2 linked regions of the Tribolium castaneum genome follow. The protein of the gene in region 1 binds, or shares a complex with, the protein of each later gene. Links are inferred from orthologs where the notes say so. Each region holds a gene or a part of one and is shown on either strand. Other genes may lie near its edges. The genes, in order: TH1 and negative elongation factor A.

Region 1 (15,398 bases):
CTTCAATGCTGTCGATAACTTCGCCTTGTTCGTGGACAAGAGCACCCAACTCTTTGAAAATTTGATTGACATCGTTAATATCACTCTAGAACAAATTGTACAGTTATCTATTTTTTTGAGATAAAAGCACATACTTCTAACTGTCTAATGGACTGTTCCTGCTCTTGGAGGGCTCGTAACTCTGATTCTTCTTGAAGTTGCACCTGCTCTTTTGCCGCACTACTGTCTTGTAACTCGATCAATTGTTCGTCTTTTTTATAGCTACCTAAAGTTTAATGTGTGATAGAATAAGCCACTGCTTCCTTCAATAATGAACTTACTGAGGAATGGTTCGCCATAAGCTTGGGCTTTGGCTTTATTGACTTGTTCTTTTTCCTTCTGCGCTGTGCTTCTCTGAGCAGCTTGGAACATGTTCAGGGTTGAAGTAAACTCATCCTGAAGACGTTCTCTTTGCATTTTACGCTGCCGTTGCTCAGACTGGGATTGGGACGGGGATATGGCGTTAAGGTCCTTAATGTAACCATTGGTGTCCTTTACAAGCTGTTGGGTGTAGTGCTGAATGGAATGGCTGCAAAAACTTCAGTAAAAAAATCAATGAATAATGTTTTAGTACGTACAGCTGTTTTCTCAAATCAGGTGAGTCTTGGTGAGTGCCTATCTGGTTTACCATGCGTTGCATTGACGAAACTGTAAAAGCCACTTAATACAGTGATCAAATGAAGGAAAAAGTTACCATTTTGCGATATTTTCTGTATGCTAGTGCCAATGGTTTGAGCCAACTTTTGGAAATCCTGCTCTCTGTTCTGCCCCCCGTTTTGGTACGAAAAACTATCCATATTTTATTGTTTATTAATCTCTTCTGTAAAATCAAACACTTTTATCATTATGATTTGTTTGCTTGGACTAAGGCAAAGAAAGCATAAAACGTTCCATGTCTTACCTAAAACATCAAATAAAATATCGTATTGTTAATCGGAAAGTAATAATTGTTATTTTATTTGCACTTTTAATCAATAACACTTGAGATTGTGAGTCACTGCTTTTATTATTTGACAGATGTCAAAAAATTAAAATCTCATTGACAGACAAGAATGTAAACATTACGGAAATAAATTTCCAAAGCTATACGAGGTATCCTCAAAAAGTAACGATCAATTTTTTTATTAACATAAAATTGGTAGAATTTCAAATAAAACATTTTTTTAACAAACATAATACAATAGTTTATTCCTGAACGGATTACACCGTGGAGATAATAGTTAAACAAATTTTTATATAATTTTAAAGAAAGATTTTGCAGAAAACGCTAAGAATTTTTAAGACTGTTTAAATCCCGTATCGTATTCTCGGTCATAATTTTACAGCACTCGACGTCCTTCAAAAATAGACAAACTCTTAGACAAAGTCTTATGAGGTCATTTAATTCTTTTGAGGTATCATTTATAGCTAAAAAATTAAAATCATTAATAGGAATTTGGTAAAATATAGCCTACTTGTGTGCTGTGATAGAAAGGCTGAAAGATCTTCTATGGCATTCTTACACTGTTTCATTACTACTTCTTGAAACACAGGAAACCAGTATTTTGTAAATGTAGCGATGCATTCAGTTAAAGTCTTTGATGATGGCTGACATATTGGCATTCTGTTACAGGCTTCTCCATAGGCATTTTTAGCGCATTCACGAATTACAGTATTACATAAACATGTCATGATATTTAAAATAGTCGCTGATTTATTCTGCGTTTTTGGCATTATTTCTTGAGAAAGCGGAATATTATTCTGCATTTTTTGTATTTTAAACATTATTTCTTTAGATGAGCATACGGGAATTTTATTGAAATGGGCTTTGTTTTTTAAATTAATGTCATTTGTGAGGAGAACCTAAAAAATTAAGTCACCCAAAATAATTCGATGTGGATTATTGTGTTACCATATTTTCATATTTTTCTAAAACTTGCATACAGCAAGCAATTATTTTGTTATCTTGATTTGCACCTACACTTTCCTGTTCATTAGCTTCCATTAGTGTCTGCCCTGAAAAAATAATTGCTATTACTTTTGTCACTGCTTCCTTATCCAATGAAAAAAGTACCGTGAATTTTTTGTTTACTAGAGCGACTCATGTTAAAGAATAAAAATAAAGTTCAATGGTCATAATAAAAAAATGCAAACACTTCTACGTGAAACATTGTTTCAGTATACCTTTCATTCTATTATGTTTACTACTCATAGTTTTTTCTATTAACTTGATGGCATCTTGAGCTTTCTGTCTGAGGCTACGTTTGTTTGAATCGCCCTTTATAAAGTCTAACTCTTCTGTAACAATCCAGGGAATGAAAATGACTGGCTCCCTGGGTCCTATAACAAGTGTGATAAATATTTATCCATTGTTACACATTTCTTTACCTTTAACAGCTAATGTAACAATGTTAGCAATTATATTCAGCTCTGATAAGAATATATTCGTGTCAACCACAATATAAAACTGACAAGAACTCGTAATTTGTGAATTTAAAGTATTATCACTTGTGCTTTTGGACTCCTCAATATCAGTCTAAAAAGACAATTAACTAGAATATTAAACTGAATAATTAAATCAAGAGAGTATACAGGACACCATTCCATATCCTCTTCTGAAACAACTGCTGTCTGTTGAAAGCCAACAGCAAATGGATTTGGAGATTCAGTGGTAAACACATTCGTTTGTGTTAGAAACTCTTCTTTAAAAATGAAAGGAGTTCCAGGTTCACTGTTCGAACATTCCCCTGAACTCGAGGCACTTTCCTTAATAAACAGTTTTGTAGACACTTCATGTTGCACTGAATCAGTTGGTCGTTTCCGCACACAATTCTTGTCTTTAAATTTTGGTACAGATTGAGCAGATTTTGAAACTTCTTCATTTAAGCTAGTCCTAAGCCTCTTTAACCTTTCATTAGCTATGTTCTTTTTCGGCGTAACACTAATGGTACGTTTCGTTCCATGTTTTAAATGACTATCCTCTTGAACAATTTTTTCCGGAAAAATTTTAGGATTCCTCTCATTTTTTCGTTTGGCTACGAGGACTTTTCGTTTGTCTGACATTTTAATTTTTAGCAAAAAAAACTTCTTTTAATTCATTTTCAAATAACAATTTTCTGTTTTCTCGCAAATCAGCTGACAACAACAACAAAACGCCATCTTAACTTGATCACGTGATATGTACAATGCACCCGAATTCGACCTGTTGTTAAGATCGACTTAACCGAATGTAGGTGAAACTGAAACTTTTTTACAAGTAACCAGTTAACGCCAGTTACTAATTACAACTCCCACACATACTAAAAAGAACTTGGGTTTTTGTAAACTGGTGTCAAATAATCTTAAATCTGCTTTATTTAGATTTACATTGGAAAGGCACGTGGGGGAAAGAACCAAGAGTTGGTAATTCTTGGGGAATTCGTGCGAGTCGACAATCTCGCCGACGCGCTAGACCTCATGGTTTCTAATTGTTGCCGGTTTTTATCGTTAATATTAAAAATTGGTGGGTTTTCATATAAATTGTTGTAATACAAAGTGAAAAATGTTGGTCTTATTTGAGACAGCGGCAGGTTACGCGCTGTTTAAGGTAATTCTGCAGTAAAGTTGTTGACAAACTTAACCTCAAATTTTCCATGCTTTCAGCTTCTGGATGAAAGCAAATTAAAAGAAGTTAACAATTTGTACCATGAATTTGATTCACCCGAGTCGGCAGGAAAAATGTACGACCTGTCCTAGTTTCAAAATGCAAACTTATTAGTAAAATTGTTTTAGTGTGAAGCTGAAACATTTCGAGAAGTTCAATGATACCACTGAAGCCCTGGCTGCCACGACTGCAGCCGTCGAGGGCAAAGTCTCGAAAAGCTTGAAGAAGGTGCTGAAGAAGCACATCGACCAAGAATTGCAGGACAAGCTGCTTGTGGCCGACGCCAAGTTAGGGTCTGCCATTAAAGAGAAGTTCAATTTACAATGCGTTTCGAATACAGCTGTCCAGGAGCTGATGCGGTGCATTCGGTCGCAATTGGACAGTTTGATAACGGGGTTACCTAAGAAGGAAATGACCGCGATGGCGTTAGGTTTAGCTCATTCCTTATCACGGTACAAGTTAAAATTCTCGCCTGATAAAATTGATACAATGATAGTCCAAGCGGTTTCGTTGCTTGATGACCTCGATAAAGAACTCAACAACTACATAATGAGGTGCCGCGAATGGTACGGTTGGCACTTTCCCGAGCTTGGGAAAATAATCACTGATAACGTTGCGTTCGTCAAAACTGTTAAAATCATCGGAACGCGTGATAACACCGCCAGTTCTGACCTCTCCGACATTCTCCCCGAAGAAATTGAGGAGAAAGTCAAGGAGGCAGCTGAAATATCAATGGGTACTGAGATATCCGACGACGATATTTTAAACATTCAGAACTTGTGCGACCAAGTTGTAGAAATTTCCAATTATCGCACCCAGTTGTACGACTATTTGAAGGCCCGTATGATGGCGATGGCCCCAAACCTGACAACGTTGGTTGGGGATTTGGTGGGCGCTCGTTTGATTTCGCACGCTGGGTCTTTGATAAACTTGGCCAAACATCCGGCCTCCACGGTGCAGATTTTGGGGGCTGAGAAGGCGCTATTCCGAGCCCTCAAGACCAAGAAAGACACCCCGAAGTACGGGTTGATCTACCACGCCCAGTTAGTGGGGCAAAGTAGCACCAAAAACAAGGGGAAAATGTCTCGAATGTTGGCGGCTAAAGCAGCCCTCGCAACTCGAGTCGATGCTCTAGGCGAAGACGGGAATTTCACGCTTGGGGCGGAGCACAAAGCCAAGTTGGAAGCACGTCTTAGAATTTTGGAAGAGGGGAATTTGAGGAGAATTAGCGGGACGGCGAAAGCCAAGGCCAAGTTTGAGAAATATCAAGGGGTTTCGGAAGTTCAGCAGTATCCTGCTGCTGCCGACTCGACGTTACCTTCGACTTCGAAGAGGAAGAGGTCAGAGTCGGAGCAAGTGAAGGAGGAGTTGAACACGACTCAGGAGACTCCCAAGCAGAAGAAGAAAAAGGTCAAGACGGATGAGACCAATGACAGTATCAAGGAGGAGGATGAGGACAGTGGTGAGGGCCAGAAGAAGAAAAAGAAGAAGAAGAAGGCGAAAGAGGAAGCGGAGGAAGAGGTGGAAGCGGAAGTTAAGGAAGAACCTGAGGTGACGCCTGGGAAGAAAAAGAAGAAGAAGAAGTCCGAGAGCGAAGCTCCGCCTGAAGTTGTTGAAGAGCCAACAAGTGGAAAAAAGAAAAAGAAGAAGAAGAGCATTTCCAAGGAAGATGAATAATTTAGCGGAAGGTTTTTTATTTTTTACAATAATAGACATTCTTATTATTAAGGTGCTGTTATACAACAGCGGTGTAATTTGCTTTGCAATAGACTAAAAACAAACAATAAGAAATTGATTTACCACGTTTTCCCACTCACCGATAAATTCAGACACGGGGTCGTTCTCCCCATCTCCTCTCATTGTTCCCGTAATTTCGTCATTTTCAACCATTGGCATAAATAAGTGGACGAATTCGGAGCTATAAGGGGGCCCGATGGTCTCCAAAACCTACAAAAATTGCATTTTCCGGTCATTTTTAACAAAGTAACTTACTTCCGTTACAAAGTAACGAATCAGGGATATGTCCGTGTCGCCTTTTTGCCAACACTGTTTTATGTACTTTACAACGGGTACCACACATCCAGCACATAGCAAATTTACCATTCTGTCAAGGACCATTTTGCGCATTTCAAGCTAACAAAAAAAAAACTGAAAAATATCGTAAAAAAATTGATAACTTACTTGGACTAAAATTTCCAGTTCGTCTTGCTTGGATTCAAACAACCTGATTAGTAAGTCGAGTACTTGATTATGGAGAAGAGGGTGACAAGTAACTACTTCATCCAAGAGCGCCAAATGAATTGGAGTGTGTTCTGTTGACAATTTAAAGTAACTTGCTTCGGTAACAGTGCACTCAACCCAACGGATAATTCCAACAGAAACGACTGGATACCTAAAAAAATAAATATAAGTTTCTTAGTTGACAATGTTTTTGATAATGGTGATTTACCGACATTTTATTTACAAAATTTATTCAGTTTTTATTAAAATATCATCTTAGAAACTTACCTGAGACACTGATACAGCGTTGCAAGTTCTGCCATTAGCTCTGAACTCCCTTTATTGGTATTACAAATATTGTGGACCGTTTCAATTGAATGAATAGTCGCTTGAAGTTCATCTTTATTGACCACTCTTTTTTGCCCTTTTTTGGCTTGCATTTCATAGACACTTGCTGCATAAGCTAACAAATGGATATATTTGGGCTTGTGGTCGGGGTTGAGTTTTACTCCAGGTTTAAACAAGGCATCAATCAATAATTCTGAAATTGTGAATTACCATATATTCAGAATCGTTAAAAAACAAACCCAGAAATTGCGGAGTTCTGATTAAATCAATGGGAGGAGGGTCTGGAGCGTTGTAATTTCTGTACAGAACTGTAATGTCGGCTGGATTAAGTGTATTTTTTGAAAGCATTGATGTCAAGGCCTGGCAGGCCAGAGGGTATGCAGAGGCGCCGTTTAACGCCATTGTGATTGGAGTTACGTCATGGCCACTGAAAATGGATAAATAATTTTTGTGTTTACTAGAAAAAATTATACTTTTTTTGGGCGCATTTCGTGATTTCTTGAGACAGTCGCTTCATGCTACTGCCACCCTTGGATTCTCGAGCTAACACGTGGATAATCACTTGACTGTAAACGTATGTGTGCTGGCCGTGGCACACCATTTTCTAGAAAAATAGATTTTTTTTCTTAGTGAATTCAAGTGTTAAATTGCATAATTTACTGCACACTCCTTGCTGGTATTTTGCCAGTCTTCTGGATTGGTCAAAAAACTAGCAATTGAAGTTTTGAGTACTCTAGAGAAGACTTCCAACTGTTGAGCTGCCGTTGAAATGCTTGTGATTTCAGCTTGGAAACCGGCGTCGGAAATAAGCTGCAATTACCACATTTACTCATGTTACACTTAAGGCAATTTTTACGAACCTTAATTGTGAAATTTAACATTAAGCAGTCTGGATACTCCTCAGCTAATCTATAAATCAGTGACCGCCACGTGGGATGTTCAATTAGCTGTGTCAGCCAAGCTGGCGTCTCACCCTCTTCTGTGAAAATCGTGTCAGCTTTTTTGGGATCAAATGTTTTCAAAATCATCTCTTTTAAGTGGTTCTCCACCATTGCTTGAACCGAAGTTACATTGACTCCACCTGTGATTAGCCATTCTGCTATCAAGTTAGCCATCTGGGCTACGGCGGTGTAGTTCTGTGATAATTCTTCAATCACTTGCAAGGGGTTTCCTCCAGACTGGAAATACCGTTTCAGCTGGGAGAAAATTCCCGGTTCCATTATGTAGTCTGAGGTCGAAAATTTCTCCGCGCATTCCTTAAGGACCTGCTCAGGGTTTTCCGTTTCATCGCCCGCATCTGACTAAAAATACGAGTTGTTGAAAGATTCAAGATTTCAATAAATGCTCACGTCATTATCGAGTCGATCAACGGTATCCCAATTTCTCTCGTCGTATTCTTCATCCATTGCAAGTTAATTACATATAACTGGGGCAGTTATATAAATTAAAACAATAAAAAAGTCGCGTCCTTAAACATAACATAACCTTCGAAATTTGACGTTACTACCAACTAGTAGTTATTTCGCGAAGTGTACGTTGGCGGCTTTGACCCACAAAGATTTGAAAATTATAAAGCAATTCCCAAATTTTCCGTAACTAGAATTTCATGGTACAATTTTATTAAATCCGGGACACATTCAAAGGTCCAAAATTGAATTAGTTGACTTTATTCACCAAATAATAAATTAATAAAACAGTACAATATTGTTTGGGAATTTTATAAACTGGATTGGCTAACATGGTTGACAGAACTTGACATGTTATGAAATTAAAGGTTATGAGAATCAAATTGTAATTTTTTGTAATTATTTTTTTAGTAATATAAACCGAAATGCACATAACGGTGCAATTTGGGTGAGAATTGTTTAATTTTTTGCTAAAACTGTAGTATAATTTAATATTTCAGGGGTGGTGCTGAATTGCTTTTTGATAACAAAAAGAGTCACGATGTAACATTACCTGAAAAAGACAAGGAATGTAAGGATAATAAGGATAATTCACTTTTTTACTGACTTTTAATCAAAGCATTTATCGCAAATAGTCTTTTATTTATCATTTTATCAATTTTTACTACACCTGATTTGATTAGCTTATTTTAAAGAAATGAAACACATTTGTGGATATCTTTTATACTTTATTGCTATTATGCTAACTGCTTAATATGCTTAACTTATATTGCAGGGATAATTAAGGATTTACTTATTTGGATTAAAGATAATTTATTGAAAGAGCGACCAGAACTGTTTTTGCAAGATGAGTCTGTGTAAGTATACCTACTAAATTTATTTTAGCTAAATTCAGACTAAATTATAAAATGTATTTTATTCTTTGGTGAATTATGAGCAGTAAGATTAAATAATACGTGTTTTTTTAATTTTCTTAATTATTTACATGCAGGATTCAGAAACCAGTCAGTATAACTCAAATTAGCAAAAAAATGGGATAATAAGCATTCTTAAAATTTACTTTATAAAAAAAGGTGAAAATCAGAATCGTTATTGAAGGACTCGCTTCTGTAAAAGTTAACAATGAGTGATTCCTGTCCCACAAAAGTTACTTGACGAAAAGTGAAATAAATACACAGATTGGCTTCTGAGCCCTCCATGTGATGAATACAGTATTTCATTTTTTGCTATCGTTGACAAATGAATTTGTTCCGAGTTTCATATTTCCCTTTTTTCCACGAAATTACAAAATCTGCTCTATTTTTATAATACTATCCTTGTTTCGATGCATGTATGCAGCAATATGATCCGCATAGGTAATTGATTCAGCATCTATTTACTCACGCCGCGTTGATTAGTTGCTCTTGTATAGCTTGTTACGTTCCGGCGCTTAAAAATGCGCTCACTCTTTTATTATTTTTTGTAGGCGACCTGGAATACTCGTCTTAATCAATGACGCAGATTGGGAATTGATGGTAAATTGCAGTTAGGGAATACAAATTTTTATCTTTATTTACATTTTAGGACACTGTTAACTATGTCATTCGGGAAAATGATAGGATATTGTTTATTTCCACATTACACGGGGGTTAATTTTATTGTATCTGTTTTTTTTTAAATAAAAGATTTGTTTATGATGTGTTTTTCTGCTTCCACTCTTTACTGTCATGACACCTTGGCCAATGACTCCTCTTGTTTTTTTTACTTACGATAGTTGGGTCGATTAATTCTATCTTTGTCAAAACATGGTTAAAAGGAAATGAGAATTTTTCTTCTATTGATAGATTATTATATGTATTGACCTGCATTTTTTGCCAAATTCGGGCAGTTTTTTTTTAATTATTGTCCGCTGGTTATGCTATGACAATCTGACAAAGCAAGATCTTGAGGAAGTTTCCAGAAACTAAAGAAAAGGCATATATTACTGAAAAAATAAGAAACTATTTTTTTTACATTTCACTATTATTGTGCTTACACTGTGCTAGAAACAGAAAAATTTTTTTTTGGAAACGCTTAAAATGTAGACTTTTACTTGGGCGCTCCGCATTCACCACTGGTTGAGTGACAATAAAGTAGCAGTTGTCTATGTCGCGGTTTTGGTGAGGGCATTAACAGTTCTCCATAATATTATCGGAGCAGCGGCGTCGTGTAAATAGGCTCGTAAATCGATGTGGTCAGATAGTTTACACCCAGTGTGGCCCTTATATGTAAATTATCGCTAGAGATCACATAACAAGATACACAGTGCATCACACAATAGTTTGTTGGTGTGGTGTTAACCCTCTTTCTATTCACCGGCGGAGCGCAATATTCGGAAATAATGATTTTATTTAAAATTTATCGCTCTGATCAGATATTGTAAGAGCCGAGAGCACGTAATATTATTACCTTTGTGGTACTTTCTGAATATCTAAGTGCAGTGTCAGCAGAAATAAGAAATCTTTACTATCTCATTGTTCACGATTCTACCGTAGATTTTACTTATGGATTATTGTCGTCCCAACCATTTCGAATATCTGATCTTTGCATAACTTCCCGCAACGTCTGGATAAATTAGCATAAAGTCGATGAGCCATCGAGAATTATGCGAAAAACCCGTTTTGTTTCCCTAACGATACATTATAATTGAGTTCGAGTTTAATTATCATAATGATGGAAACTTTACGCATAAAATCATTATTGTTATAAGTACACGGAGCGTTGTATTTAATGGCGAAAGAAGTGGCAATTATTTGAGAAAATTGGGGAAATTGGTCATTAAATTTCCATAAGTAGGAGGGAACGATTTCCTAAAAGAAATATACTAAATTAAGGTTAAGTTTTATGATTTTGCCGCTGTAAAGGATAAGGCGGACAGGACCATCGCAGGATAATGATGTCGTTTATATGGAGATCCTGTGCGTAGATGATGCTCAACCCGGTTGACTGCAGCACTGAGGTGTGTCGAGACATATGTAATGTCTTACCATACACTTTTTGAATCCAGTTCAAACAAATATTGACGAAATTGGGAATAAATTCTGATTTCGCGCTATTTACGATGCTACCTTTCCGACATTTGTACGTTTCTGCTTTCGGCTGTGTAATAAAACTGACATTAATCCGAAAATCATTTGAATGTGTTTCATTTTTAACCGCTGTAATCTCCTTTAGTCGATATTTACACCGGCTATTATACCTACTTTTAATACAATTTATTCGCTTTTTTTATTTTAAACCTGTTCATCCAAATTCGTATTTATGCAATTCAAAAATGTGCCTGTGTTTATGAGAAAAATTTACGTGCTATATCGCTCGCACGTTACGTTTCCGTGGGGTTCGGATTATGGGTTAATTTTGGAAAAGAGGGACTGTTATCCAGAGACCAGTCGTTTGCCCATACAATTACAGTTTTATTTGAAATTGTGAGTACCTTCGGGGAGTTTTAAAGTCAACACCTACGCAATGACTGCCCCAGCACGTTCAGATGCCTATTTTGTCGCCCGTGTTCACACTCTATTCACAAAAGCCACACAAGTATAGTCTTTCGTTCATTAATTTTAATACTTTAACCAATATTATGCTGTATCAAAATTAATAAACATTTACTTTAGAATTTTTTTATGTTGTAATATCATTTCAACAATCAGATCCTTTGAGCAATTGCTGCAAGAATTTTAATAATTAAATTCGGTAAATATTTGCCCGGCGCATCCACCATAATTCACACCTTGAACAAAGTTTTATTTAAATGTTATGGTTAGAGTATTCTATTTAACACCAATTTTTGTAAACTAGTCTAAACTATTTGTGCTAAAATTTAATTGGAATAAGGCGAAAATAACAATTTATTAAAGTGTATGAGTTGTTGGTGGTTGTTGGTGTCGAGCTTTCGTTAATTCGGCAAGTTCAAGTGTGGCGATCGCGCTGGGTGTCAGAAACACATAATCAGGGTTTTATTGAATGACTTTGGGACCGTAAAAACTTTTCTCAACAAGTTCGAGGGCAGTCATTGAATATTAGTTATCAAGTTAGACAGTCGAAATCGCTTATGGATTAGACGAGCGAACTTTTAGATGAAACAATATCCGCGTTGTCTGAAGCAGTTGAGTCTCGGTTTCTTTCTCCACATATCGGGATGCTATGCCGTCCTGTGCACGTCCTTCAAAACTAATAATGGAACTCGGCTCGCTAGAAAAGAAACTTCACAAAGTTGTACAAGATATTACAGCATCTTGTATAATGGTTGTCAACCGTTTATTACGAATCTGCGACCACACATTGTCTATCTGCATCGTTATTCTAAGTGCAATCGTCGCCGGAGAAAAGATCGGGACTAAGCTTCGGGAATAAAGGACAGACACTGGCATATTGCGGACGACAGCTAAGACAAGCTATTATTCCTTCGTTAGGATTTCAGACTAAACTCACGTTAGTTTTTACAGCGTCTAGTTATTGAACGTTTGTCAGCACGAATTATAAAAATTTATTTCCTTCATCTCCCGAGACGTTGACGAAATATATCTTCTGCTTCCGTTAAGGTGTTCTTAGCATTTTTTACCGACCCCGCAAAAGTGTTACATTAGCATTTGATAAATGTTCCCCTAGAAAATCTAAGAGATTTCCCTCTAAATGCCTCTATTAATTTTTTATGGTGCAAAGTGTCTTCGTAACGCTTTGATAATTTCAAGATTTGTGCCAGTCAAATTCAGGTTTGCGAAACGAATGTCTAGTACTGAATTATTTATTGAAGTATTTCCTAAACGCAGACTAATTATTTCAAATAAAAAATTGCTATTGATTTTTTACTCGTATTACTGAATTTTAGTGATGAAACTTTCTAAAGGAACTGTTTTGTTGAATAAGTCTGGTACATATTTTTGTATAAATTCAGAAATTGTCTGATGGAGACCTAAAAGCTGCTTATGTGTCTGTGTAATTATGTGGGAAATCACGTAATGTGTGCGGAAAAAATTTACGACGTAATATAATATAGAAATTTGTAAAGTTTAATGCCTTAGGAATGCGACATAAACCGTGGATAGTGGAAACTTTGGTGTATCATAAGTTTTCAAATTACTGCAAAGTTACAAACAGGCACTATAATTATGATAAATAATTAAATTGTTAAATACAGGAATGTTGGAAGTTGCTGCATAAAACCCGCTCCAATCTCTAAATGGATTACAAACAAGAAATTTCATAGTTATCTGCAAATCTGTCATTTCATCCTAATAATTTGCAGAGAATGTTTTCAATTAATGCATTTAGAAAATAAAGCAGCAAGTTTGTAGAGAAGTAATTGGTTCATCGTTTAATTTGGCTTTCGAATTCTGAAGAAGCGATGAGGACAAAGAAGGAATGTGAATGGGGTTTAGGCTTTCGATTTGGAAGACCTTAAAATTAGTTCGTATCAAATTCCGTACGCGTGTTTGATAATTAAGTTATCTCGTAGTAGTTTATTCTTGTGTTGGGAGAGATTTATTTATGATAAAGATTGAGGCAAAAACAGGTGTTTAATTATTTAAGGTTTGATAAGTTCAATGAGTTGAACTTTGAATAATACACTAATTTTTAATGAACACGCACAATGAGTGCGCTTGAAAATTAACGAGTACATCCGGCGGAAACAAAAACTTTGCGAGCTGAGAGCCAGGTAGCTGGGCTTCGAATATTAAACTTGTTTTATGCTCGGTTCTAACGAAGATGATCAAGAAACTTGTTTTAAAATTTTATTGGCCGGTTTTATTCAGACAACACCTATTAACTGATTAAAAAAGTTATTAATCTTGTATTTATTCGGGTTTACAGCGGTGTTAAAGTTAATATATTTCAGTTAAGACGAACTTCAAGTCTACTCAGCTTCGACGAATGCTAATTCTGTTAATAGCTTTATGGGCTGCTGTAGATGCGCGAATAAATTTAAAAGCAATTATACTAAAAACCCACTTTTTAATTACAGATAATTTTAAATATTCACCAGCTCAGAAGATAAAAATTAAAGTTAAATAAAAATGAATGTCCATATTTTAATTAGCCTTTAATTCTCGTTAAAAATGGTGTTGGAATTGGACTTTCAAATTGCATTGCACGTTTTATTTACCTAACATTGCGCAGAGTGCAAAAAGTTCTCAAAGTAACAGAACTCTGAGTAAATACACTTTTCAGCTGGAAGACAGTAATTAGCTAACCTAAGTAATTGCTCGTTTCCTTTTCGTCGATTCAATTCAATTAGCTTTCACACTATTTCGCCCCATTTGGACAAAAACTGAAACGAAGTTTTTTATTATCTGCTCTCGCCGCAGGCAAGTGCTTACTCTAAAACAATAGAATTACTGGATTAAACAAGTACGGTTTAGTGCTAGATAATTTCCGCTAAACTTTCAGAAAATATCAACGATTCTAAACCAGGACTTGGTCTTACTGTTTTTTTCTCCGACACAATGTAAGAACAACTTTGTTATTTTCACATGTGCCATAAAATTTTACGACATGCATAAAATATTTTTCAGAATTAAATACTTTTATGAATAATTTTATACATTAATTTACGATCGCATTACCGGCCATTCTAAAATCCTCTAAAGTGTATTTAATATGATTGTCATAAAATATGATCCCATCTATGTGTATCACTATTACTATTTTAACTGGAAAATTCAGTGTTTGTTTGTAAACAGACGAAAAAACTAACAACAAAAATGCAGTTTAATGTAAAATAGGTGCTTGGGTTAAACTGAATCAGTTCATAGTAAATATGCGTTTAAAACAGTTTTATAAAGCAATCATCGTAGCAATCATGCAACTTTTGATTGTCTGTTATTAACTAATCACTGCAACAAGTAAGTTCATTACAACTTTTACCATTAAATGATTTTAACGTTGGTTGGAAATAGGATTTAAATAACTCAGATTGATTTATGTTCGTACAATCGCAGACAAAGGAGTTAGAGGATACTCTGTGATGTCTGAGTGGTGTCGATTTCCAATTAATCCTCCAAGAGCAAATAACTCTGATTAAATTTTTCTTACTTTCTTCAAATTTAATTAAATCTAATTGAACGTAATATTTAAATATTACCATCTCTAAGTTGGTTCGTTCAAAATAAAATAAAATAAACTAGTCTACTCGTTTGATTTATTTTATTTTGGTTGGTTCGACATTGTGTTTCCCACAATCACTAATCAGTAATCAGTAATCGGAGATGCATTTTACTCAAGTTTTATAACAGATCATTTATGTAAAAAATGGGATATAAAATTCATACGCACAGGGTGAACAACGAATTTTTTGAATATTATAATCTGGATGCTTGGATTTTTGTGCAGGAGTAAAGTTTTAAAGAAGAAAGGTCTCTTCTTTTTATAAACTTTAATTATATTCTAATTATGTTAAAAAGTAACTTTACATTTTTTCTTACTGTTTTCTGATTTCGCCCTTTAGAGGTCTAAGATTTTATGAATTGTGTTTACGGTTTAAATAACTGCTTTAATAATTATAAAACTTGTAAGTCCTCGGCAAAGAAGTCGTTACGATTTGACCTTGTTTTCATGTCTGGATACGTGACATCAAAATCTCCTCTTGTAACAAAGGTCGTCTGAAATAATTGAAAACTGTGTTATGGTCTCTGTTATCAACTCTTCTTGATTGCGTGGTGTATTTCTGTAAAAATAGCGTTTCCATTTGGCGCGCTAGTTTCAAAACCTATGAAAAAGCGCATTAAGCCTTGATTAAAACAAAGTTG
Region 2 (15,354 bases), on another chromosome or scaffold:
GACGAGCAAAGTGGTTACGTGACGTTGTTCGCCACTGGAGCATCAGTGTTTTTAAACGAAATAACGGGAGATTTAGCTTTTATTACAGGAACATCGACCAACAGTGTGGGCGAACACAAACACCATCCTTATTTTGAGCAATTGTGTATAAAATAAAAATAAACATAGCCACGGAATTGCGAATAAATAATTTCTGACGTGGGTGGATGCTGCTCCGATCGAACGGACTTTATGGCGGAGGTGCCGGAATACTATCAAACTTTCCCCTTCAAACTCCGAACGTTAGATTTACAAACTAATTTTTTACTCCGAAATTCCGGAATTTGTAGCGATATTTACGTCGAATAAGGGCGCAAAGCCAAACTTTATGAAAACACTTGGTGCGTCTAGACTACACCATATCTGGGATCTGTAAATTTCGCCAAGCCGCAGACCTGAGAAATCTGCAATATGTGACTTCTCAGCGGAAATGTACCCCTTATACACCTACAAAAATTCGCAATTAAGTCCTTGCGATTTATCACCGAAACACCCCCTGTAATAAATTACACGTGGCTTAATTGTAAACTTTAGAGGGTGTTATTGAGTTAATAGAATTGTGACGATCGATAAATTATTTCCGCTTGATTGAAGACGCCGTATTTTAAATCCAGAAGTTCAGATAAAAGGAAGAGATTGTAATGATGAGAAATCGACTCTAGTTTTGCGCTTATCACCAGACTGTGTGGGAGGATTAATTAAAAATCGTGTGGGAAGAGTCTGAGCTAGTTTGACCCCTTTGCACTTGTGGTTTGAGAATATACAGGTTGTTCCATCTAAACCTCACATTGAAAGTATTAAAGGTTCTAATCTGAAAGTTAGTACTCAGCCATAATCTGTCATAAGTTCTGTTCAATGAAAGTTCTCATTTTAAATGGAAAGCTTCGTTTTTCACTGCGTTTTTGGATTAGTTAAGTTATTTTAAGGGAGTTTAACCGTTTAACCGTTTTTGAGATATTTAGGATTTTTTGAAAAATTTTGAAAAAATCGGTAGCTCCTAGTTTTAAAGATTTCGAAATCATATTTAAAGAATTAAAAGAGAAAACTCATATCTGTTCTTTAGTGTGTTCAAAATTGGAAAAAAATACATCCAAAACTTTTAAAATTCAGTTTGGATAACTTCAAGTACTCATAACTTAATTTTTTCAAATGGGCCCAATTTTTATTTTATTAGTTGGAGGATTGTTTTCTGTATCTATCTGTATTAGCATTCCCTATTCCTGTCTGTTATAATTTTCATGTTATGTTGTTTTTTTTATTATGGTACAAGGTGTTTCAAGTAATTTTACAAGGCCTCGTACTCGATTAAAAATTTTAAAAAATTGGATAGTTTTTTCTAGTTTGTTCACCCCTTCAAAAAATTGCAACATTTTTAGTTAGTTTGTGTGTTTAGTTAGTGATTTTGATTAAGTTAGAACACATAAAAATTGTTTCTAAAAAACAGCAATTTATGACTATTACCAGTTAACTGTCATTAGTTTGTCAAGTCTGTCATGCATTTCTAAAAATTAAATCATTAAATGTGTATTTTTTTTGCATCTAATGTTTTGTAACTTTTGTATATTAGGGAGCGTGCCTTAAGCGCAGGACTCGTTAAGTTGTGTGAAACACCCTGTATAGGAAATTCCTTACTAACCACAGCTATTTTTGCATAGTTTGCCAAAAAAAAACATTTCTGATTAAATCAACGACAAACGACAAATTCTATTCAAAATTTAAAAAACAGGAAAAACAAAATGAATATTCATTGAATGTTGGCTTGAAAAACTTTGATTTCTCACATTTTTTCTGTCGTTTCCTTGTGGCATTTTATTTTAAAAAAATAATAACAAGTGTTCAATAATTGTTTTGGTCGTGGTTTGCTGTGGTTTTCTCTTTCTAGCATGAACGTAGGTTGCGCGATAAGTTCATATGGTTTGCTGTCAACTGTTTCAATGTTGTCTTATTTTTGCATTTAGAAGTTTTTGATAAAAATCACATTGCAAATCATGATGCAGACGTTCAAGAATTTACTCTGCAAGCTCAATTGAACGTGTGAATTTTTGGCCGCATCTTTGGTCTGACACTGACGGTACTGACAGCTGTCATCTGTCATTGTTTTGTAATGTTAACCAGACATACGTTTTTTGTGACAATTGCCACACATAGGCCACACTTGTTAGTTATGGGTGCTTAAAGTTCTACAAGCTTAACTCTAAAAATTTGGGGTTTGTTATCTTTTTTAGAAATTTGAAAGCACCAAGAGAAAGATCTAGACTTTCTCTTTCAAATGAGTTGAAAAATATTTTAAAACTTCAAAAAATGGCGGAGTTATCGATTTTTGAACTTAAAGGTGCAAATCCGAAAAAAAAATTGAAAACTCTAAATATTTCGTAAACGGCAAAATTATAGGAAATGCTTATGTAAACTATCTTAAAATAATTCTAGTAATCCAAAAACGCATTAAAAATATAGCTTTCCATTCAAAATAAGGAAGCTGAAAGCGACTTCCGGTATAACCGGAAATGTCGCCATGTTGTATTTACATTGAACAGAACCCAAAAGATTATGGTTGTATACAATACAAATTTTCAGATGACTGTCATTACTAGAACTCCAAATACTTCTAATGTGGGGTTGGGACGGAACACCCTGTACAATTTGTGCTTGCGATTGATGTTGAAAATTTCGTTTTTATTAAAGAAAAGTTAAGAAACAATTAAGGAACTTGTACCAAAGTAAAACTAATAAAACTATTATCATTTTTTCCGCTGAAACGAATATCACAATTTCAAACTTTGTCGCTAAAAACACTCCCAACTCCGAACAACCCGAATATTTTTTGCCATAACAGCCCGAAATATCATTTCGCTTTTAGCATCGGGATAATTTGTTACGTAAATATCAAAACGGGTCATCGAGCTGCTTTTTGTTCCCCATTTCACACTTTTTACTCTCGTTTCATTTATTTTTTAGTTTTCTCCGGGACGAGTGTGCTTTATCTGGGAATGCAGTTTGTTGCGTCTACACCAAACAATGCCGTCCCCAGAGACACATATTCCATTTATGTTTTGTTCCCGTGCACATTAAAGTCGACACTGTTTACATTTTTATCGCGTTAATAAATTACCGAAAAAATAAGTAAACGGCTTACGACAACCTTCAAATTTATTGGCGCTAAAATGGAAAATCCATCTTAATGGAAAATTTAGGTTTTACACGGAATGTAATTATGCTTGTGTGTCCCCATGGGAGACCAACCGACGGTTTGTGACGCAACTTCAAATGAGAAAATGGAGGTTTCTTGTGGTGTTGTGTGGATTTGAAGTGGAAGAATAGCTGTTATTAGTTTAAAAGTTGGATTTTTTTCAGGAATATGAAGTCTTTTTTCCTGGTTTTACCGAAAGCGATTTTTTTTAATGTTTTTAAAAATTTGAAACAACTGGACGAGCTACAAGTTTACAGGTGTATCAGAAATATGTGTGATAATTTTAACAGTTAACAGCTAGCAGAGCTCCATAATTAATTTTTATTTTTAATTTAATTGTGTACAAAAATAAAAGTACCGAGCTATTTTCGTTGTGATAGAAACGGACAATTTAAACAATTTTAAACAACAATAAAGATTGTTGCTATGAATACAAACTAATTATTAAACACTGACCGTCTCGTTTACACACGAGAAAGGAAAAAAATAGTGAAAATAACAAATAAGAATTTTACAAAATGTTATAAAGTTGTTGTAGGTACTTGATGAGTTTTATTACATCGTAAAATTAATTTTTTTCGTTACACACAAAATTTGTAACAATTATAATAATTATTAACTAATTTTCCAATTCTATACTCCTTCGCCGCTGACCAGAAAAAAGCCCACACGAAAAATGCGCACAAGAAAAAAGCTCCCAAAAAAGCCCACAAACATAAAAACCCGCAAAGAAAAAAATTCACACAGAAAAATGCCCACAAAGAAAAAAGTCCACGTCGAAAAAACCTCATATGGAAAAAAGCCCACACGAAAAAAGCTCATACAGAATAATTCCCACAAAGAAAAAACCCCACATGAAAGGAAACCTACACCAAAAAAAGCCCACACGGATAAAAACTCACGTTCTTTTGAAAGCCCACTAGTTCCTATTCGTAAATAAACTATTTGTTTGTCCTATTCCACTTCCATAACTGATTAAAAAAATCATTTTATGGCATCTTTTTGTGCACTTTTGATAATATAGGTTGCGGTTTTCAACACTCCAAGACCTGCAGAAATCGTAAAGAAGAGGGATAATTTTATCAGTTATTGTTATGAACATTTTTTTTTGTTTCCGCTTTCGTATAGAGATTGCATCAATTATCTAAATTCTGTTAAAATGATCATTGTTAGAAAAGTATTTGTGTTTGCTATAGCCGGGTATAGCAATTCGAATATCGCAGCAATTTTCTCGAAAACTTAGTTATTTTGAAAAAAAAAAAAACTAAACCGTTTCAAATGAGTCGATTGTAATATTTGCGGGGTGATGCAGTTGTAAACGTTTTATCATTTAACGCTCTCGAGGTACCTTTATCGAATTTTTTTTTAATTTAAGGCCTTTTTAGCGAAATAACAAGCTAATTTTTATCATTCTGGTTCAGCGGTTCTTAAAATTTAGGTCCAAAACAATTTTTTGAAAAAACTCTGATGTACTTTACTTTACGATGCGTTTTCCTATTTCCCATTCAACTTCAAATTTTTGCTAAATCATTCCCTAACTTACGGGATAATTTGTTGATAGGTATTTATAATTTGCGTGAATAAGATTTCAACAAATTATGGCAAAAAATGACAAATGCGGAGAGATCACTCAGTATAGGTTTAGGTACCGTTTAAGCTATACGCCGAAAAGCTGAAATCAATTTAAAAAAAAATTTAATTTATAAGTAAAACAAAAAAATTACAACATAAAATTAAGTTTCTTTGTCTAAAAAAAAATTGAATAGTTACACTTTTGAATATGTTAATTTACTTTTTCCTTGAATAGTAACAAAAACTGATTCTCAAATTATAAAATATTTTTATTGTTATCCGAATAATTATAAATTTATAAATCTATCCACGATTAGGTACAGAGATTTCTTTTCCAGTGAGTTAATTTTAGCGTGAGCTTTTTTCTTGTGAGTTTTTTTCTTTGTGGGTGTTATTCTGTGTGGACTGTTTTTCTGTCTGGAGTTGTTTCCATATGAGGTATCTTTTAAGTGCGATTATTTCTATGTGAGTTTTTTCCGTGAGCTTTTTTCTGTGTGAGCATTATCTTGTGCGCTTTTTTCTTTTGCGCAATTCTTGCACAAAACACTCAAGCGGATGTTTCAGAATGTCCAATTTTTTTTTAGCAACACAGTATTAATTAATTTTAATTGTAAGGAATTGTAGAAAAATTTTCAAAAAATCACATAAAGAGAAAAATAAAGTATTTAATAGCAAACGATGACTATGGTGTGATTACTAAAGAAAAAAATTAAACAAGTTTTTGTCATACGAACTTTGGATGCCGTTTATCCATGAGATGACTCGACACACTTGAATCACCCTGTAGTTTTTTTATGTTACAAAATTTTGGGATTTGGGTTGGTTTCATTGTATTTCGTTCGTTTTCCAAACGATTAAAAAAAAGTAAACATGCGCGTAGCTTTTTATTCAGTTATTTACAAATTAGAATATTTACAAAATATGTACAACAAACTTAACGTTCAGTTTATCAAACTGTTTACCTAACATAACGTTACATTCGATTTTTTTAAACTTTAAAAATCGTAAATAAATATTTCTTTCTTACGAAGCATAATAAAAAACAATTCCTATGTTAAATAAATAACAAAAAAATTTTCTTAATTCCCAATAACAGCAGGAGCTGGTGTATTTTGTGGCATCTGATTAACAACATTATCAATATGTTTGTACTTTTTGATTCTCTTCCACTCTCCATTATTATAATTCATCTGGAAATGAGTCTCTGCGACCATAGTCAGGTAAGTATCGTCAGGTTGCAACACATTTTCCTGATCCTCTGACAACTTAATAGTGACAATATTCCCCAAATGAGGACAGGGATTATCCCTTGACCCTGCCATAAAACCCAAAATCAACGCCTTCTCGGGCCTTGTCACTTTGTTCGCAGTTCGGAACATATCCTGAGCTTCCAACATTTGCTCCCTCTGGTGAAAAAAAAAAACAAAAAATAGAATTTTTTAACATATACTCGTAATCAAAAACCCACCGTTAATGCTAAGCCCCGCCTCTGCAAAGCATTCGACGTCGTCTGTGGCTGGATCCTGATATGCGTCACAGTGGGCGTGGCCTGAGTCGTCCTCTGCGCAATCGCAATATTTGACACTTGGCCGACAGCCTTCACCGATTGGTCGGTCAAAATCGTCCTCTGCCCACTTGGCGTTGTTGCCAATAGGGGTGGTACAGGCCGCATAGTTGGCAACTGTGTCGCCGCCACTGTTGCCAGTTTCACGGTCGGCGTTGCCACCTGCGCTGTCGTAACCGTAGTTACCGGTGCTGTTACCGCAGTTGTTAAAATGGAAGACGCTGCTGGAAAAAAATTAATAGGAACAACAAACTTCAAATTCGAATAATTACTGGTTGGTGCGAGGATGGGCTGTGGCGTGGGCGGCGCGTAGGCTGGGGTGGAGCTTAAACCGGCTGCATAATCGGGAGTGGTGGTCGTGCCTGAAACAGGTGGGGGGCTTTGCAAGGCAGCATTTTCGGTGTTTTTCTTCGCGTCTTCAATTTCTTGCATCTTCTTTCGTTTTTTAGCCGCAGCGTAGCCAAGTGGTTGATCGGCTATGTCCAAGAGTTTGACTCCGCCTTCTTTGCGTCCGGCTGGAGGGCGGGCCAATGGGGGCCGATTGTTTATATTGTTGTTTAATGCACCGGAGCGGAAGCCCGATGTCGGGACTCTACTCGGGATTCCTTTCAGGGGTGCTACAAGAAATAATGCTACCAACTGTCAAATAAACAACGATCATGCATACTTGTATCGGTCATTTTGCGCGGCATGCCTCTCGAGCGCACTGGAATGACCGGAGCTGATGATTTTTTGAGATTTGAGGCCGCATCTGAAGATTTTTGTAATAAATCTGCTCGTAAAATTGCCGATTTTTGTTTCTTTTTGATGGTGAAGTGTTTAGTAGGCTCTGGTTTATGGCCAACCTGACAAAAAAAAGTTGTGATTGTGACAAGTGACACATGTCAGAGACTTACGACAGAGACAAGGGCTGATTTGTTTAAATAGTGGCACTCCATGGGTAGCATAACATTCTCAGCTTGTTTGCGAACCAGTTTCCGAAGATCTGTAACTAAATCGGTGAAAATGGGTCTCACTTCGTCCAAGTCGGAAATTTCTGTGTTTAGGGACCCCGTTGAAGGGTACGTTTTTAAAGCCTCAGCTAACATCGCGACCCACAATTCCGAATCGGCGACGGCCACATCGAGGATTTGCTCCAGCTCTAACTTCCACTAAAAACAAAGTAGCAAGTGAGTACGCCATAACCTCAAACAACTTTATTAGACGACAAAGTTAAAAGGGGCGCAACCAAGGGGTTAATAACGACAAGTGGAAACCGTGGGGGCTTTTATTTGTAAACATACTTCTTCGAGGTTCCTGCGCGGGATGTGAAAAAAACTCAACAAAAGCTTTAATTTCACTTGGGTTTGAAGATCGGGAAAACAGTCTTTGATGTTGCGTAACACTTCGGCGTTCAATTGCGAGCATATTGAGCCCCCCGTCCAGGAATCGTTCGAAATTCCGAGTTTATTGTGTAACCATAAAGACGTATCGCTGTCACGCACATTCGCCATTTTGCGTTTGGAACGGTGCTGCCAACAACCAGCTGACTAGCACTCAAAGCACTACAACAATACAGCGGGAAATTTAAACACTCATTTAGTTTCATACTTTTATTAACAGTTTATAACACAGGAAAATTATAATTGCTGTTCATTTGTTTGGCTAGTGTTAGCAGGCAAACGAAATAATTCCGATTTTGCGGATTCACATAACAATTAATCTGTTCGTTGGTATCGTCCATGATTACGGAATGTTGATTAACTTCGGGTAGTTGTAACAAACTTGCCGTACTTCTTACATAATCGGCGACTCGAGCCCTCGACGCTGGGTCCATTTCGACCACACACTCCTCCTCACACTTTTGTTTCATAATCCTGAAGGATAGATAAGTCGGGTCGTTATCACTCGCAACGACTTGAATTTGCCCCAAACTAATTATCCGTTTCACATTATCATCATCAAGATTCACAATAATCAAAGCATCGGGTGCCAAAACCAACCCAATTCCTTTGAACTCAGAATCGTTAAACATCGTTGCTTCAGTCGCAAAAAGCACATTTTTATAAGTCAGCGAGCTTAGTAACTTCCATTCGTATTTTAACATTGAATTTGAATCTAACAGATTCAGGTTTTTGACCAGGTCACTCCTAGGTTGCGGTAGGGGATTCCACCCGGCCCCTTGCAATAATCCTACAATTTTAATTTTTTTAAGTCAGTTTTGTAAATTTACGATTATTATACCTTGACCAGTCAACGCCACCAGTTCGGCAGCTCCACTCAAAGGCTTAGTTAAGACTCCCACTAGCCCTAATCCGACACCCGCTGCGAGTGACCTGGGTGATGCCCCATCGGCCATTATGCTCTGAAGCGGGTGGTGGGCGATGCCTCCAACAGCCCCCAAAAGACTGATACCGAGTCCCGTCAAGCCCTAACAGAATTTTTTTGTAATAGGTTGTAACCAGCTCAGTAATCAGTTAGTCACATACATCAAATAAGAATTGATAACTTATTAAGTAATTACATAATTACTTATTTAAAACCTGTGCAAAATGGTAAAAAATATAAAATTTTGAAATGAAATTTAAAATTTCTAAAAAGCTTTCTGTAACAAGACATTCTTTGATCTATTTTAAACTGTATTCCATTAGTCTATTACAATGGAATGGTAATATCCACTATTTGTGCACCCAACAAGGTGAGAATAAATAAAACAACCTCTTCGGTAAAGACTGATGAATGAGTGATGTACTGATGATGAGCTCAGAACGCAACTTTAATAATTTATTAAAATAATAACTTGTTTAAACAATACTATTGAATTAGTAATCTTTAACCAAAAAATGGTCGCAGTAGACTTCCATTTAAAACAATTAAATTTTGCATAACTCATAAACGGTATCGGTAAAATTAAAAGGAATTTATAAAAAAAATATTCTTCACAAATGATCACATTTTTAACAGTCTTAATAATACAAATTATTTTTTGTATTCATGCAAAAACGCTTGTTTTATCCATACTTTTGCCCAGCACTGTATGTAGACTAGCACTGTTCAACTTTTCGTACTGGTATACCTACTATTATTTACGAATTAGTTAAAAGAACGTAATTTTTTGACCATTTCGAAAAAATTCTTGAAATAAATAGTTACAGGCTCACAATAAACAAATAAGAAAATAAAAAGTAAATATTACGAAAAAATCGAGAAAATTAAGCTTCTAGAAGACTGTAAATAATATTTATCTCAATACAGGTTCTTAACTTATACGCATAGATAACTTAGGGAATGATAGTGTACACATTTGTTCCACCACAGTTAAAGAAGTCTAATTATTTTAAAAACAAACAAATACTAAACAATACTTTTCGAGCATTGAAACCTAATAAAAAGAATGAAGATATAAAAAAGGCAGATGCATATTTACTGATGTGTGATTAGATTAGATATCCTTTACTTTTATAGAACAGTATATATAATAACGAATACTGAAAAAAAATTCTAATAAAAATTTTTATTACCAAGATATTGCGTAATTTTACACTGCTAAACATTTAAATTTGAAGTAGTACTAATACCAATTAATTATTTTGACTAAGTTCCTAATAGTCCTGGTACAATGGTACTTCCTTAAATTGACTTTCGACAGAGGTAAGGAAAAAAAGTTACGATCTCGGGTATGATAAAAAATCACTTAAATGCAAAATAAAAAATGGAAACAATTTTTCTTTACGGAGATAAACCCGTTAATTTGAAAGAAATTAAAACATTAAAAAATAGTGACAAAATCAAAACCTTGTAAAATTTCTGTTTTTTTTTAATATATTTTTTTTCAAATTATTAATTTATGTATCCTCGTAAAGAAAAAAATAGCTTCATTTTCACTTATTTTGCATTTAATTCATTATTGAACATAACAATTTTATTAATCACCTATGTCGAATGCTACATGAAGGCACTAGGAGGCAGTATGTTATACCGAACTTAATTATAATCTTGGTATTATTTCAAATTTAAATGTTTAGTAGTGTACAATAACATATATTTCGGTAATAAAATTTTTTCACCATTGTAACGCTTTTTGCATCAGGATTCCATACTCATTTATTTAATGCCAAAAATTTGGGCCTCCCCTGAAGACTAACTAAAGAAAATACCTGCATAAATCCTTGCGTCACCCCTTGTGGTTTCTGCCTCCTCTGTTCCTCCGTCCGTCTCAAATGCTCCTCATCCAGAGTCAATCTATCCAAATTCCTTGCAACACTCGACGCCAACTTCGTCACAGATTGCAGCGTCCCAGCTGTCACGTGTTTCATAAGAGAGGCCGAGCCATGAGTCACACCAGTTAGAAAAGCCCAAGGGCCCTGTATAAGCCCCCGATAAGGCAAATTGATAAAGTCGCGAAGCCCTATACCCATCGCTCGCGCAAGTCCACTGGGACTCCCAAGCAGTTCGAGCGAACTGACGACCCAACCAGCCCCAAAAATGGCCCCCGAGAGGTAGTGCATGGTCATTGCATGCCCCAATCGATAGGGGGTTGTCAACAGGCGGCGTCTTTCAAACCGGGCAAACTGGAGAGGGGACTGGTCCAGGGCTATGTACATTTTGAGGGAGCAATGGACGGATAAAAGCAGCGACAAGGGCTCCACTGTGATGGTTTTGAGACTCAACGGTTTGGCGATTACTAAAGAGTTCCAAAAAACCAACTCGGGGACTCTAACTGAGACGCTTTTGGACGTTGTGCGGGACTCTGGTTTTGCGCCCACGGCCAGTCGCATCGGAAACAATTGGGTGAAATATTCCATCAGTTTATTGATGTACAAATCCTCGACGTAGATCGAAAGCGAATTTAATTTCACCTTCACTTCTTTCACTCCAGTCACGTTTTTCTTGCGCAAATCATCAAACCAAGTCTCCACCACCATATCCAAAATCAACACACTGTCGGTGTTCCTGATCAGTTCTTTCGCATTTTTTTCCAAAACGTTGGCACCACTTTTCGGTTTTTGGTCCTGGCTTACTACGACCACAGGAAAATCGAACGATTCCTTCGAATATAACTCATTATCGAACTGGATGTCTAATACAGAAAGTGAAACTTTCAAATCGTCACTTTGACGAAGCTCAACGCCCACATCGTCAAAACTAAAACTCGCAACTCCTTCTTTTTCCGAATCATTGCCATGATCTGCGAGAAACACAAGACTGAAGGATTTAACGAATGCGAAAACTTCGATCGAATCCCAGTTATTCTGCAAGGTTGGTTTGAACAATGACTGGTAGAGCGATAATTTTGGGAGAATTTTTGCCGCATTTTGGAAATTATTATCAGCGACAATATCCTGGAAAATTGCTATTTATAAATGAAGCGATTCAAAAAGACCGTACTTTGTGCCGATTATCATATTTTCCGAGCACTGTCTCCATTTCATGCCGCGACAAGCGCCCCCTGATGTCAATCGCGTTGATTTCGACTCCACTTACCGACTCAATGGACAACAAGGTGGTGTAAGACGTGACTTTAACCACCAATTTGACGTCGCCAAAGTTCGGTATTTTGACGAATTGTTCCGAATCGTTGACTATGCTGACGGCACTTGACCACTCGAAATGATCGCTTTCGGCTTAAAAAATTTTTTTAGTTTCAATTTTCAATAAAAATGTGTCGTTACTTTTGGGTCCTATTGCGAATACTATTTTCTCGCTGAAGCAGGTCTGGGGTAATTCGGGGAATTTTTCCGAAACGAAAGGCATTGTGTAGTAGACGCTGGAGCCACACTCGAGTTTTGAGAACCATTTGAAATGTCTCGATTCTGGTATTGCGGCTCCGCCTTCGCCGATCGCTTGGCCGCAATACAAATTTACGGAACTTTTATTTTCGATGAGGGTCTGAGGGGAATCGTCGTGGAATAATGAAAGGTAAATCTGGCCTTTGCGTTCTTGAGAAGTCAACACGAGAGGGATCTGTGTCAAAAATTCATTATTTTAGGGATTATTTCGTTTCATAAATGTGATGGAATGATAAAAATAAAAATTGTATACAGATAATAATCTGCTTAACAAGAAAAGTGTGACAATTACGAAATATAATAAAGTAAATACAAGAAGCCCCAACACGACATTTAAAAATTATATTTTCTTCACCGACGGCGACGTGACATTTATGCATTTTTTTCGAGGTCCGTTAAGGGCCCAAAAAAACATCAGTTGGTCCAATTTTAAAATCTTTTATTAAAAAGCTTTTTTCATTTTCTATTGACATATTTCAAATATTAAAATATTGAGCAATTCGTTTCACCCAATCTTCATCTCTAACACTTGCAAATTCTTCTTCGGTTAAATAAACAAAGTTTAAAAAAAAAACAAATATAAAAAATATAAACTGAGTTTATATTCTCACCTGAGGATGACCACTTTGTGGTTTTGAAACGCGTAGTGTTTTTAAATAAAGGTTTGGTGTGTCGGGTTTTTTTTTAAACTTTGTTTATTTCATCATATATATATTAAATAAATAATTATTGATTAATTATTATTAATAATTAATATTAATATAGGAATTATTTATTAATAATTATTAAATATTAAATTTTTTGCCACACTACCTTTAATGGTTGCCTAAATCATTTTTCTTCTTATTGAATTTACTTGGCGTTTAATCTTTATTTTGCATTAATTTGTCCAGTTTAAAATCTTACGTTGTTTTATCAAATATGTAACTTTAATTACCAATAAAAAGCAACTGATCTATTGTTTATGTTTTAATGCCATGCGATCATTTAAATTTGAAATTAGAGTAGTCGGTTTTTCTTCTTTGTGATTGATAAACTAGAGAAAATTGTGGGAAATAATGTATTCTAATTGAATATTACCGTTCGAAACTTTATTATTTGACTCTTGAGCTTAATTAATTGTGATAATCAACGTTTCCATTAAAGTTAAAAAAAGTTACACCCTGCTTTAATTATTAAATATTATTATACAGCGTATTGAAGCTTTAATTCTAAATTAAAATTTTATTTTAGTTCAAAATTCTGTAAACCGTCTCTCAAAAAAAACTACTGATTATGTGTTACTATTGGAAAATATTGAAGTTTCCGCCTATAGAATACTTTACTGAAAAATACCCAAGATAATTCTGACCAAAAAGTTTTTATATAATTAGGTAGGCTGTTAAAAAAACTGAGATATGTTCGCAAAAAAAGCAATTTGCGTTTAAACAAAAGCTATTTTAACTGGAAAACAGCCCAGACGGCAGAAAATTTAGAGTGTTTATGCAAACAATGTCGTTTTAAAAGTTTTATAGTAACATGAAGAAGTCAAAAGAAGTCTAGTCCGAATGTTGTTAGTTTTTGAGACATAGACGTAGAGGAATAAATTCAAATTTCTTTGAACTCGACTTATTAAAGTTATAATAAACAAATATGATCTACGATAAAAACCAGATAAAATTTTTTACATTGGTTAATGAGAAAATTTGGGTTAAAATTTGCAAAAATAACCATAAATAAGTATCCCATCATTAAAAAGATTAATGAATAATAAAATAAGGTAAACATTTTGCATCACTTTGTCGAAGATACTACTGAATTCACTTGGCCCGAATCAAACTGGGTTTTAGTACCTAATGTTTACTTTGGAATTAAATGTATACGAATAGCTTTAATACATTTAGTTTTCTATAAATTCAACGAGCATTTAACTATAACTACTAACTTTAACTATCATTGTATTGTCTCACTTTCCTCTATATCTCTAAATTGCTTTTTTTAAGCCTATTATTATGTTTTACCAACAAAGAAAATATCCTTTTTGTAAGCAAAAATTAATGTTACAAGCTGATCCAAAAGTCGTGGACCATCTCTTGGCTACTAAATAGCAGACATTTACCTGAGTTAAAAATTTCTAAGACAAAAAATTGTTTTGAGCCTTTTTCCTTCGAAATTAACTTTTTAGTTAAGTTTTTATCTTACAGACAAAAGCAACAAACGAATACGGTTGGCAAATAATTTTTTCAAAAAATTAAAAAAAAAATACCAAAAATCTGATATCATTTTTATGCTTATCTGAACTTCATTTATCACCACGCTAAAGTTGGTTCGACACTTTTGAGACAGCCAGTAGATCCATACATTCTACGAAAGTCATGATCTTAGCTAATATACCGAGAGTTTCGCCGTTATAGTCGTAAAAAATCTTAGAATTAAAAAATATATTTCCAATTTTTTTTTACTTCAGAGGCAAATCACATCATTAACAGCAAAAACCCGGAGAGTTGATAACAGCTATAATTCTGTCTACAAGTGTTATACTTTAAAAATTAGTTAAAAATATTTCGGACATGATGTACTGTCAAAATTCACACATCAAATTCGTGCACGATCTTACGCCACGACACATTTTTCGAAAAAAATTTTGGAAAATTGAAAAATTCTTACCCACTTATTCCGTGAAGTCCTAACAGACAAACTCCTCCTCGAAACATTATCATCCACCCTCACCGGACACGACCAACCAAACTCATATTGCATAGAAAATGCAACATAAAAAGCATAATTCGTGCTCGCGTCGGAATTTTCCGCCTCCAAGGCATACCATCGGATAATCGAAATCCCGGAATTTGTCTTATCCAATTGTGGAGCGACCGAAAACGACAACTTTTCAACGTTTGCCGGTACGTTAAACATTCTATCACAGTCAGGAACAGCAAAACAAACAACCTGAATTTGGTTCAGCAAATAGTTACTAAAAACATGGGATGAGGAGATTTTCAAGAGACGAATCTGATCCGAGATGACGCTTGTCAGTGACACCATTGCAACCTTAAATCGCTTTTTGTTAATTTAATTACAAAAAAATGGCACAACGTATACATCAGATCCGCACTTGACCGAAGTCTTAATACTGCCCTCTGGCGGCAAAGTGCCCGAAATTTTCGGCATGTAAAACGTTTGACTCCAGTCTGAAGTGGATAACTGGAGGGGCGGCGAATAGGATAATCCACCCCCAGTGTCAA

What was found.
Region 2: the proteins of TH1 (region 1) and negative elongation factor A are in contact, whole or in part, in a crystal structure (PDB 5L3X), measured with the Homo sapiens proteins. The link is inferred for Tribolium castaneum from reciprocal best matches to the Homo sapiens genes NELFCD and NELFA. Residues at the interface, in XP_047296144.1 of Homo sapiens: Cys204, Gln205, Gln206, Leu207, Glu208, Phe210, Ser211, Leu214, Arg215, Leu218, Ala219, Ile221, Leu222, Asp223, Gly225, Glu226, Cys241, His242, Gly243, Glu244, His245, Thr246, Tyr247, Leu248, Phe249, Ala252, Met253, Ser255, Val256, Leu257; in NP_005654.4 of Homo sapiens: Leu23, Trp24, Ala25, Leu54, Leu58, Leu61, His62, Arg65, Pro88, Trp89, Met92, Val93, Ile96, Leu97, Phe100, Gly104, Ser105, Leu106, Leu108, Leu110, Asn116, Val117, Asp119, Ile120, Leu121, Glu123, Leu124, Arg125, Lys127, Val128.

What each region holds. Positions count from the first base shown.
Region 1 is NC_087394.1:30,824,699-30,840,096, forward strand, and holds TH1 (negative elongation factor D), read right to left. Parts: upstream 7,748-15,398; 5' UTR 7,636-7,747; coding exon 7,579-7,635; intron 7,531-7,578; coding exon 7,090-7,530; intron 7,040-7,089; coding exon 6,890-7,039; intron 6,834-6,889; coding exon 6,703-6,833; intron 6,657-6,702; coding exon 6,469-6,656; intron 6,423-6,468; coding exon 6,170-6,422; intron 6,054-6,169; coding exon 5,843-6,053; intron 5,795-5,842; coding exon 5,654-5,794; intron 5,609-5,653; coding exon 5,479-5,608; intron 5,453-5,478; exon of another isoform or gene 5,432-5,452; coding exon 5,397-5,431; 3' UTR 5,339-5,396; downstream 1-5,338. Other genes in the region: Syx7 (syntaxin-7), read right to left, coding at 1-85, 135-265, 321-568, 618-687, 734-836; transcriptional protein SWT1, read right to left, coding at 1,307-1,446, 1,494-1,881, 1,931-2,034, 2,203-2,358, 2,407-2,554, 2,611-3,081; nop5 (nucleolar protein 58), read left to right, coding at 3,560-3,604, 3,661-3,737, 3,790-5,338; Urm1 (ubiquitin-related modifier 1), read left to right, coding at 8,061-8,083, 8,136-8,206, 8,411-8,492, 9,101-9,149, 9,199-9,267. UniProt on the Homo sapiens protein: Essential component of the NELF complex, a complex that negatively regulates the elongation of transcription by RNA polymerase II.
Region 2 is NC_087395.1:19,620,595-19,635,948, reverse strand, and holds negative elongation factor A, read right to left. Parts: upstream 7,900-15,354; 5' UTR 7,856-7,899; coding exon 7,646-7,855; intron 7,514-7,645; coding exon 7,259-7,513; intron 7,208-7,258; coding exon 7,030-7,207; intron 6,980-7,029; coding exon 6,635-6,979; intron 6,587-6,634; coding exon 6,267-6,586; intron 6,205-6,266; coding exon 5,878-6,204; 3' UTR 5,670-5,877; downstream 1-5,669. Other genes in the region: intermembrane lipid transfer protein VPS13B, read right to left, coding at 7,966-8,534, 8,586-8,772, 10,499-11,683, 11,730-11,965, 12,014-12,305, 14,777-15,160, 15,212-15,354. UniProt on the Homo sapiens protein: Essential component of the NELF complex, a complex that negatively regulates the elongation of transcription by RNA polymerase II.